Linked DNA regions of Arabidopsis thaliana. The protein of the gene in region 3 interacts with the protein of the main gene of each other region in a pairwise test. Each region holds a gene or a part of one and is shown on either strand. Other genes may lie near its edges. The genes, in order: ABCB29, GOS11 and AT4G23030.

The links.
Region 1: the proteins of AT4G23030 (region 3) and ABCB29 interact in a protein complementation assay, tested with the Arabidopsis thaliana proteins (one large-scale study listed by BioGRID).
Region 2: the proteins of AT4G23030 (region 3) and GOS11 interact in a protein complementation assay, tested with the Arabidopsis thaliana proteins (one large-scale study listed by BioGRID).

What each region holds. Positions count from the first base shown.
Region 1 is NC_003076.8:1,055,462-1,059,218, reverse strand, and holds the start of ABCB29 (ABC2 homolog 12), read left to right. Parts: upstream 1-2,046; 5' UTR 2,047-2,113; coding exon 2,114-2,704; intron 2,705-2,827; coding exon 2,828-2,914; intron 2,915-2,988; coding exon 2,989-3,096; intron 3,097-3,180; coding exon 3,181-3,447; intron 3,448-3,548; coding exon 3,549-3,632; intron 3,633-3,753; coding exon 3,754-3,757. Other genes in the region: AT5G03920 (F-box protein), read right to left, coding at 538-1,062.
Region 2 is NC_003070.9:5,458,280-5,462,036, forward strand, and holds GOS11 (golgi snare 11), read right to left. Parts: upstream 2,081-3,757; 5' UTR 1,811-2,080; coding exon 1,772-1,810; intron 1,522-1,771; coding exon 1,282-1,521; intron 1,084-1,281; coding exon 919-1,083; intron 789-918; coding exon 675-788; intron 553-674; coding exon 439-552; 3' UTR 119-438; downstream 1-118. Other genes in the region: AT1G15885 (uncharacterized protein), read left to right, coding at 2,271-2,411, 2,691-2,816; AT1G15890 (Disease resistance protein (CC-NBS-LRR class) family), read left to right, coding at 3,127-3,757. UniProt on the Arabidopsis thaliana protein: Involved in transport from the ER to the Golgi apparatus as well as in intra-Golgi transport. It belongs to a super-family of proteins called t-SNAREs or soluble NSF (N-ethylmaleimide-sensitive factor) attachment protein receptor.
Region 3 is NC_003075.7:12,070,650-12,074,406, forward strand, and holds the start of AT4G23030 (MATE efflux family protein), read left to right. Parts: upstream 1-2,110; 5' UTR 2,111-2,207; coding exon 2,208-3,716; 3' UTR 3,717-3,757.

The DNA.
Region 1 (3,757 bases), on a different chromosome or scaffold from region 3:
ATTGTATGTATTTAATATCATAGGTTTAAATATAAATTTAATTAATAATATGCAATTATGCATGGCACGGGGAACCACTAAGACTATTGTCATGATATTAATATGCTGTTAAAGGGCTTTAACGGGCTTCGGGGTTTAAAAGGCCTCAGATCTTAGCAACCGCTTAAATTCTCGGTTTAGTTTCGGTTAAGACGAATTATCATCAAATTAGAATTAGAAGTTGATATTCCTTTTGGTTCGATTCAATTTGTTTTGGAGAGAAATGTCATTTCTCCTCCGCTTAACACCGCCGCCGTTATCTCACCGCCGGAGCTCATCTCTCTTTCTCAAACATCCATTTCAACAATCTCCGAGACCTCTGAGCTCCGGTAAACCCTCGAAAATAGGGGATAAAAAAAAAATAGGGGATTGGTTTCTTGTTCATCAAGCATCAACGCCTTTGCAGTAAATTTTTTGGTGCAAAACAAAGCTCTTGATTATTTAGGTAGAAACGCTTACATATTTTTAAATTTCACAGACTTTGTATATACATAATAATTAGTTTTTAGAGGGGAAAAAACATTGAAGATATCTAAGAGTATCTTCAGGGGAAAAATATCTCTGGTCGCTTTCAATGAATATCTCAAGGCTGATCTTGTCAAGTAAGTCGCCGTTTAAACTCACCTTGACATCGCCGGTTAGGCCACGTCTGATTAGATCTTCTGGAGCAAGAAGATCGTTGAACAACCATCGTAAGTTTGTGTCTAATGACCTTCGACCTTTAACGATTGTGACAATGTTTTGCCAATCTTTCTTATAAACGACTTCCCAAGTGATCATTACATCATCCATACCAGACTTGGGCAGTTCAAAACGACTCAAGTCTACGATTTCTATTTTGAACCGGTCATTAGGGTTAAACTCGCGGTCCGCGCCAAATTCTACAACTGTTAACTTCTTTGATTTGGTTGTGTACACGCCTATGACAAAGGTGAGATCCGACATGGAGATTTTGGGTTTGGGAAGTTCCTTAGCTCCCGAGTGTTCTCCTTCTTCGGCCATGACCACCGGGGACTTCTCCATCTACTTTTAACCTCTCTTTGTTTTGGAATGAATTTTGTGTTTATATATTCACCCTCCATAATTTATATATAGTGGTACAAATCCTCAATGAATTAGGAATACTGGAACTAAAATTGATTACAATTAAATATCTAATATAGAGTTTTAATTTTCGTCATATATTCTAATAATATAGAGTATTTTTTTGAATAATTTACAAAATATATGGAAATTTGTAGATTTATACTAGCTAGGTGTATTATGGGCCATTCTGCAGCATTTCATGGTTATGAGTCCAACATTTCATACTAGGTGGATTAGATATTAAAATAATGAATTAATTTAATTACTATAATAAATTAATAATTTTCAGATTTTATTATTTTTAGAGATTTTTTATGATTTAATTTAGTATTGATTTTTTCTTATTAAATATTAGTTAGATAAGGGTGTTAAATATTTTGACAAATGTTAACACATATTTTTATCTAATTAGATTTATTCTCTGAGTTATTTCAAACTAAATTAAAATTCTCTCACAAAACAAAATACATATGTTATTAACTGATTGTAAACTTTCATTTGTGTCAACAAACTACTTTTACAGTTTTGAAACAACTTCTTATTCATGACATTTGCTCTATAATTATACTAGGTGGTGGACCTCTCCCACCATGTTACGAACCTAAATCTAAAATACATATATCAATATGTTACAATTTCAACTAAAGTTAATCGAAACGTTTTAAATTGCAAACAAAATTAACTGAAATTTAGTTTAAATGTTTTTCTACCAAAAACTATAAATCTCTTGAAATATTCAATATAGTGTGTATAATGAGTTTTAAAATTTATTTAATAGTTGTAAAGTAAAACTATTTGGGGTTAAATATCAACCTCTTACTTGATAAGATCAGGTTGGGCCTCGGGTATTAAACTCATAAAGGCCTCAGATCTTACTTCTTAGCAATCGCTTAAATGTTCGGGTTTAGGTTCGGTTCAGAAGAATTATCACCGAATTAGAATTAGAAGTTGATTCGTTTTGGTTCGATTAAATTTGTTTTGGAGAGAAATGTCATTTCTCCTCCTAACACCGCCGCCGTGTCTTCTCATTCCTCCGCCGCCGCTATCTCATCGCCGGAGCTCATCTCTCTTTCTCAAACATCCATTTCAACCATCTCCGAGACCTTTGAGCTTCTGTAAACCCTCCGCTCTCCGTCTCCGAGCCAATACAACAGTCAATTCACTAAAAGCCCTCGAAACTATTAAACCCTATCTTCAATCGGAATCTAAAACCGTCCTACTTGGCTGGCTCTGCAGCTGTGTCTCTGTTGTCTCGCTTTCTCAGATTGTTCCTAGGCTCGGCTCCTTCACTTCCAACCTTAACGCAAACGCCGCGAGCTTGACGAAGCTCAAAGGCGAATGTCTCGTTTTGGCGGGTCTGGTTTTGGCTAAGGTTGTTGCTTATTATCTGCAGCAAGCGTTTCTTTGGGAAGCTGCTTTGAATACTGTTTACAAGATTCGGGTTTTCGCGTATAGGAGGGTTTTAGAGAGAGAACTAGAGTTCTTTGAAGGTGGCAATGGGATTTCATCAGGAGACATTGCTTACAGGATCACTGCTGAAGCTTCTGAAGTTGCTGACACTATCTATGCTCTTCTCAACGTGAGTGTTTTGCTTGTTATGAATGTTTTGCGAAGAGAAAGTTTCCTTCTTTTCAGAATTTTTTGATACATTGTGGTGATTTTGGCTAACAACTATAAGCTCTACACTTCATTTATATGGCAGACAGTTGTGCCCAGTGCTATTCAGATATCTGTAATGACGGCACATATGATTGTTGCAAGTCCTGCCTTGACACTAGTCTCTGCAATGGTAAGTGAATCAATTGTCTCTGTTTGTGTCTCTTTTGCTCTAGAGTTTTCTTATTAGTTTGGGTATTGTTCTAGGTGATACCATCTGTTGCGCTTCTTATAGCATATCTTGGTGACCGGCTTCGTAAGATATCTAGAAAAGCACAGATTGCCTCTGCTCAACTTTCTACCTACTTGAATGAGGTATTAGTCTTTCCTACAATTGGTGTTTTTCTTCTTCTTGTTAATTTACGGGAAAATTACTAAAGCAGAGCTTTTTATGTTTAGGTTCTTCCTGCAATTTTGTTTGTCAAGGCTAATAACGCAGAGATCTCTGAGAGTGTGAGGTTTCAGAGGTTTGCTCGTGCTGACCTAGATGAACGGTTTAAGAAGAAGAAAATGAAGTCACTTATCCCTCAGATTGTTCAAGTTATGTATCTCGGATCATTGTCGATATTTTGTGTTGGAGCTGTTATCCTTGCAGGCTCTTCTTTAAGCTCTAGTGCAATTGTTTCCTTCGTGGCATCATTAGCTTTCTTGATCGATCCTGTCCAGGTAGATACTTGTGTCAGTGTGGCATTCCATGCCTTGCCTCTATACTTTTTTGTGTATAGAGGAGCTGTCTTATTGGGATTTTGAATCTAAAAAACATGCAGGATTTGGGAAAAGCTTATAATGAATTGAAACAAGGAGAGCCAGCGATAGAACGTTTGTTTGATTTGACCTCTTTGGAATCTAAGGTACTACACCCTATCTTTCCTCTGATCTTCTCTTCAGTTTATACTCCTAATGATTTGGTTTTGTTCGTTGTCTATCTCAAAATATGATGCAAAGTGCTTCTGGCCCTGTCTTGAAAATTAGGTGA
Region 2 (3,757 bases), on a different chromosome or scaffold from region 3:
GAATGTTCCCTTGGATATATGATTATATGGCTTAGATGGACTTTTATTGGCATGGTTCTTAGTTTCCAGAGGTAATGTGACATTTAAATCTAATATGGATTAGTTGCGAGCATATATATGATAATGATTATATTAAAGCCGTATTGCATGTAGGCGCCATGTACCCTTTTCAATGCAGCAACATACTCCCACAAATAAAAAGTTACAAGATGAGAGAAACAGATGGTTGTACTGTATGTGTGGCATCTCCAAAATAACTCAACATTTAACAAGCTCGTCTAGACTGCAAAGACAGGGATGAAATTTTCTGTACACAATATTTATGTTTTTGATCTTTAGATTCTTTACTAGAACACCGATAATTGCAGAACAAATTGACATCATGGGAAAACCAGACGTGGCCCAACATAAAGATGAAACGAAAGAAATGGGCAAATTCTACTTGGTTATCCAGTAAATGAATATGAGAAATGTGCATACAGCCGCAACGAGTGAAAGAATGATTGTATCCATCGACTTTTTCCTCTTTATCGCTGCCAGAATAGTGTTCACCTGCAGTGGTTTTAACCATCCAATTGCAGGGTGAGATATAGGATAAACACAGGCCATAACCGAACATAAAGAAAGCAACGAGCAAAAGAGTGTGTAAATAAGACTAGGAAAGCTCTTCGTACCGTAGGTAGACGGCTGGCGACATTGCTAAGCTTTGAGTTGATGCCTCCAAAAGTTGAACGTTGAAACACAAGCGTACCGAGTGTTGCCTGAGCTTGTGAAATGACACCGTCCATCTGCACCGTTTATATAATAGTCAGCTCACATAAGTCATGACGTGTTCGATTAACTTGAGAAAGCCAGGCCTATTGTACGCTACAGCTGTAGAGTCTAACAAAGGTTAATCGCAAAGGAGAGTTTATATACCTGAGCTGTATTGCGGTTGATTCCCATATGTTCCTTGATCAGGGCTTGTTCAGACCCATATCCATCTTCTAAATCTAATCTAGTCCGATCAAATTCTCTAAAGTCCTCAAGAAGTGAAGCATGCTCTTGTTTTGCTCTAAGACTGGAGCGGTGTCGATAAAACTCCTGCATTTTGAATGAGTCATACATACAGGAACAAGACTGATTTACAACGAAGGTTGAGTCATAAACTAGTCCAAGAGCAGAGTGTGAACAGATGGTTAAAAAGATAACACTCATTTCATTACTAATCAGTATATAATCAACACAAGCTATAGAATAAGGCAAATATTCAAATGGTATGAGTCAGGAAAGGAACAGTACCTGTGTCAGATCTTGAAGGATCTCTTGATGTCGAGTTAAAGTATGGGAGACCATTTCTGACCCACCAGAAGATACCCATGCTTGCATCTGAGCATTAACTTGTTGCAGTTGCCTAAGAAGTAAGTCAATCCCAGCTTCAAGATCACTCTCATTACCATCTGATTTTGATAAAGCCTTTGTGGAAACAAGTCTACGATATGAATGCATCTGCTCGTCAAGCTGAGCTTCAATCTTTCTAGCCTGTGGGATTCAATACAACACAAAGCTTATTCAAATATCAATTGGATCCAGTAAAAAGATAAATCATTGAGAATTAGCCAACAAAACCAATAAATTCCCCAATTCGAATCGAACCCAGAAGATTGATATCAATTCAGACCTCAAATATTCGAAATTCAAGACAGATTTTCAGACACTACCAGCTTCCCCAACACAATTACCTAGTAGCTTCGAATCAAACGACACAATAATTTTATAAAAAGAAAAATACCTGTTTCCGTAAAGCATCCCAAGAGCTAGGCACATCCATGGCGTCTACTGAATCTGTCAAAATCTCTCCTTTATGAAAGCGGATCGTGTCCTTTCCGGCAAGAGACCTTTTTCCGATATAAATCAGATGCGACAATCTTCTTCCTCGTCCTCGTCACCAAAGGTTTGAGCCCCTAAAAGATGCGATCCAATTGGTTCGAAATTGAGACAAGTAGTGAACGGAACGGATCGGATTGAGAGAAGGATAGAGTTGGTTCGGAGACGCAGACAGAATTTCTGCGTACCCCTTCAACGGAAAATTGCTTTTCAGTTTTGCGTAATCACAAATTAATTAATTCGATGACCTGAGATTCGGCGGGTATAATCCAGTGTTTTCCACCCTACAGTAAGTTTATATATAAGTTGACCTACACATTTAGTCAAACTTGCAAGCGATACGTGGATAATAGTAAACCTTAACATAAACGACATCGTTCTCCAGTAAAAATAGACCCGGCTCGATGGCTCGAGTCCTAGAAGCTTACCGGGTTCTCTCATCAAACTGCTCCATTCGGATATACTTCCACTCTCAAGTCTCACTCCCTCACAATCAATTCAAGCGATTGCCGCCCGTCGTCGCTTTCAAATTTGTTCTTCCGCCGGTAACTAATTCTCTTTCGCTTTGACTACGCTTTTGCTTCACTGCTTCGATCTCGTTCGGTTTCCTTCTGTTTGCTTCTTCAGAAATTCCTCGAATTGCTTTTGATCAATCTCAACTCAATCTGTGGATTACTATTTCATCGTGTTTTCACTTGTTGGTGCTCGGGAAAATTATGCAATTTTTCGAGTTGTTAATGGCTTTAGTTCTTCGTGTTTGCTCTTTAATGAATTACGAACTTTTTCCAAAGAGAAATAAGGTCTATTTTTTTTGGTGAAAGTAGGAGATTTTTTATGGCGGAGGGACAATTGACGAACATATCGGAGATGATACTGAAGAAGAGGAAGAAAGGGATGAGCTTGAATTGAGTAATTACGGCAACAATTACAGTAGCAGAGTGTTACATTAGTTGAAAGTTGAAAGATAGTTGTGCTCTTCATATTTTTTTATGGTCAATATCATTTTGTGGATAGAAAACTTTATCTTATAGTTTCTTAATGTTTGATGGTCAATGTCATTTTGTGGATATCTGAACACGCATCTTGACTTTTCGTTGAAGCTGCCACTTTCAATAAGATATTAGAACTTGCAGTCTGACTTTTAAATTTTCTAATCAATATCAGGAGGGCACGATTGTACTCTTTTTCCTCTTCTCCATTCAGTGCTCCTTATCTTGTGTTGTTTCCTGCATCGTCTTGATATTTGAAAGTTTGAGTAAGATGGGAAACTGTGTAGCACTAGAAATATCTTGTGATCAAACGTTGAATCATGCTTGTGGCTGCTTATTTGGTGATCGGAATTACATTCTCAAGATGGAGGCTAATCTCGAGGCTCTGCAGAATACTATGCAAGAGCTCGAGGAGAGAAGAGATGATCTGTTAAGAAGAGTTGTCATAGAAGAAGACAAAGGTTTGCAACGGCTTGCTCAAGTTCAAGGTTGGCTTTCAAGGGTTAAAGATGTTTGTTCTCAAGTCAATGATCTGCTGAAAGCTAAATCAATTCAAACTGAAAGGTTATGTCTCTGTGGATATTGTTCTAAGAATTTCATATCTGGCCGCAATTACGGAATAAATGTACTGAAAAAGTTGAAACACGTGGAAGGACTTCTAGCTAAAGGAGTTTTTGAAGTGGTGGCAGAGAAAATTCCTGCGCCTAAGGTGGAGAAGAAGCATATCCAAACCACAGTTGGGTTGGATGCAATGGTCGGAAGGGCATGGAACAGCCTCATGAAAGATGAACGAAGAACTTTGGGTCTTTATGGTATGGGGGGAGTAGGTAAAACCACGCTCTTAGCTTCTATTAACAACAAATTCCTTGAAGGGATGAATGGATTTGATCTTGTTATATGGG
Region 3 (3,757 bases):
ATAGTATAGAGTACTTTATTTACTCTTAGCTTATCGGATAATGGTTAATCTCATATAAACAGAAGTTATCAAGCGACAGGACACAAAGGTTTGTTTAGTTAAAGTTACATGCATGAGAATGAATAAATTAGACTATTAGGATTCCTCCTATTACTTAGGATCTTTATGGGGTTGATTCATTCTATGCCAAGGATATTATAGATTTTTGAACATTTTTGACTATATGACATCTTTTGTCTCACAAGATATTGTTGTTTAATTACTTTGATCATATGAAGATATTGTTTCTAGAATGCATATGGATGAACAACCATTAAGTATATGCGGTAATACTGATTATAGGAAAATACGTTATAGACAGTGTGATGAGAATTAGGAACACAATTGTGTTAATGAAAAAAATTTGTTAATTTTAACCAAAACACTATTAGATTCCTCGATAACCTTGCCCTTTTTCCTTGTCAAGATTACCTTAACCTAATTTTAAGTCGACGTAAATTAATTTTCACATAATTTGTTAATGATATTTGATATTCAAGATACAATGAAAAAATACTCTGAAATTTCACATAAATAAAACATAATCAAAACATAATAAACACTTGACAACAATTTTAGTCCAAAAGGAAATCAATTCTCTTTCGTTCATATACAAAGTAACAGTAAGTTGTAACTTAGAAAATTGATCGAAAATTTGACTTGGAAACCCTAATCATTTCTAAAAATATAAATATAAAATCTCTGAAATACGTAAATTATAATTTTTTTATCATGTTATTTATATTTGTTTGTTACTTCTATATTTACATTTGTATTTATTTTTATTTCATATAGTTTATATATATATATTTTTTTCTATTTACAGTTGTTAATTTTTTTTTTTGTTATAATATAATAAACGATCGACATAGCTCGTGATAAGATAATGTTATTTTTGTTCCCCATCATCCTTAAGCTATATTAATGGTCCACATTCTATAGAGGTGAAGCATGTGACATCGTATTATATCTATGCACAAACAATAAATTCTTATCCCAAAATTAATAAACACTAATAAAAAATATTCTCTTTAAACTAATTATTATTTTCTGTTAAGTTCTCTTGAAACTAATTATGAAAGCAAGCCTTTTTTTTTGCCAAACTATAATTTTCCCCTCGATTATATGATCAATAGAGTGGTCCAATAAATTGTTTTGAAGTTTAGAAATAAGCATTAAGTAGGTATAATATTCTATATAATTCTTCTCACTTTATTGCAAGCATCAACATCGTCCCAAGTTTTATATAAAATGGTCCATAAAATTTTAAATCTTAGTATTTCGTAACAACTTGATACCAACCTCTCTGTATAGCTGCTTAATTTTCTGGTATATGATCTGTGTCCATCCCTACTAGCTTACTACTTTACTACTACTTCGAGCAGTTACTTATTTGATTTTGTAAAGAATCCATTTCGTTTTTTTTTTTTGGCACATGAAAATTACCCATAATGGTCAAATTCAATACTATTAAAAGTGAGGAAGAAACGACATGAGTCAATTTGTTACACTGGTTTATTATTTAAAGAATAGAAATCCCAAAAACGTCTCAAGTTTCAACTCTTTCTATGCTGAGTTGTATTGTATGTATGTATCTAAGTATCTAACTATAAATTAAACGAAATACAGACAATAAATTAATCGTGAATAAAAAAAATTCTTAATAAACATCCAAATATCAATATTTTCTTGGAAACTTATCTCCAAATGGAAACAAAAATCCTAATAAACGTAACCATGATTAAAAGAAAAGAGTTGCATAAACATCCAAAGAAAAACAATACTATTATATATATAAAAAATCCAAATCAACATGAAGAAAGTAAAATGATTCCAAATAGACATCCAAAAATCATATTTTCTTTAAACTTTTTTTATTGGTTTTCCACAAATGAAAATAGAATAAAATAGTGTCTCTGAATTAAGACGGAGTCGTAACAAATGACATAATGGCCGGTCAAATAAACCGCCAAAATTGTTCTGTTATAATTAAGACTAATTTCTGAGTCAAAAAACTTCTCTTGTTCCCTTAAGGGCCTTAATCACTATTAACCTTAACTAGTGACTTAATCTCAAACTTATAACACACCTTTCACACATCAACAACACCTTCTTCATCATCTCCTTTCTCTGTCTCTGTCTCTCTCTTCTCTCTCAAACCTGTAATCATGGCAGCTCCTTTGTTGATGATCATCAAGAACCAAACAGATCACCGACAAGATCCGAATCCGAACCCGACCCACCTTTCCTCTTCGATCCAAGAAGCCAAATCAATCGCCAAAATATCTCTCCCACTGATCTTAACCGGTTTACTTCTCTACTCTCGCTCAATGATCTCAATGCTCTTCCTCGGCCGTCTCAACGATCTCTCTGCTCTTTCCGGTGGCTCACTCGCCCTCGGCTTCGCTAACATCACGGGTTACTCTCTCCTCTCCGGTCTCTCTATCGGCATGGAACCCATCTGCGTTCAAGCCTTTGGCGCCAAAAGATTCAAACTTTTAGGCCTTGCTTTGCAAAGAACCACACTTTTGCTTCTCCTCTGTTCTCTTCCCATATCTATCCTCTGGCTCAACATCAAGAAGATCCTTCTCTTCTTCGGACAAGACGAAGAAATCTCAAACCAAGCTGAGATCTTTATCCTCTTCTCTCTCCCTGATCTGATCCTCCAATCTTTTTTACATCCTATCCGTATCTACCTCCGATCTCAATCGATCACTCTTCCTCTAACCTACTCTGCTTTCTTCGCAGTATTACTCCACATTCCGATTAACTACCTTCTCGTTTCTTCTCTCGGTCTCGGCCTTAAAGGAGTCGCCTTGGGAGCAATCTGGACTAATGTCAATCTCCTAGGGTTTCTAATCATCTACATAGTGTTTTCCGGTGTTTACCAGAAGACTTGGGGAGGATTCTCAATGGATTGCTTTAAAGGATGGAGATCTCTAATGAAACTAGCCATCCCTAGCTGCGTCTCGGTTTGTTTAGAGTGGTGGTGGTATGAAATCATGATTCTTCTATGTGGATTGTTACTTAACCCGCAAGCAACCGTGGCATCTATGGGAATCTTGATCCAAACCACCGCTTTGATCTACATTTTCCCTTCCTCTCTGAGTATCAGCGTATCGACACGTGTCGGGAATGAATTAGGTGCGAATCAGCCTGATAAAGCGAGGATAGCTGCGAGAACCGGACTTAGTTTAAGCCTTGGTTTAGGTTTATTGGCAATGTTTTTCGCTTTGATGGTGAGGAATTGCTGGGCAAGATTGTTCACAGATGAGGAAGAGATTGTGAAGTTGACTTCAATGGTTTTACCGATCATCGGGCTTTGCGAGCTAGGAAACTGTCCTCAGACCACATTGTGTGGAGTGTTGAGAGGAAGTGCGAGACCTAAGTTAGGAGCAAACATAAACTTGTGTTGTTTCTACTTTGTGGGAATGCCAGTGGCTGTATGGTTAAGTTTCTTTAGCGGGTTTGACTTCAAAGGACTATGGCTCGGTCTATTTGCAGCACAAGGCTCGTGCCTGATTTCGATGCTGGTCGTGTTGGCTAGGACTGATTGGGAAGTTGAGGTTCATAGAGCAAAAGAACTCATGACTAGATCATGTGATGGTGATGAAGATGATGGTAATACACCGTTTTTATTGGATTCTTTGGATATAGAAGAAAATCTTGTCTTCTAGTTTTGATTTATTGGCACTAACGAGATTCGTTTCATTGTACA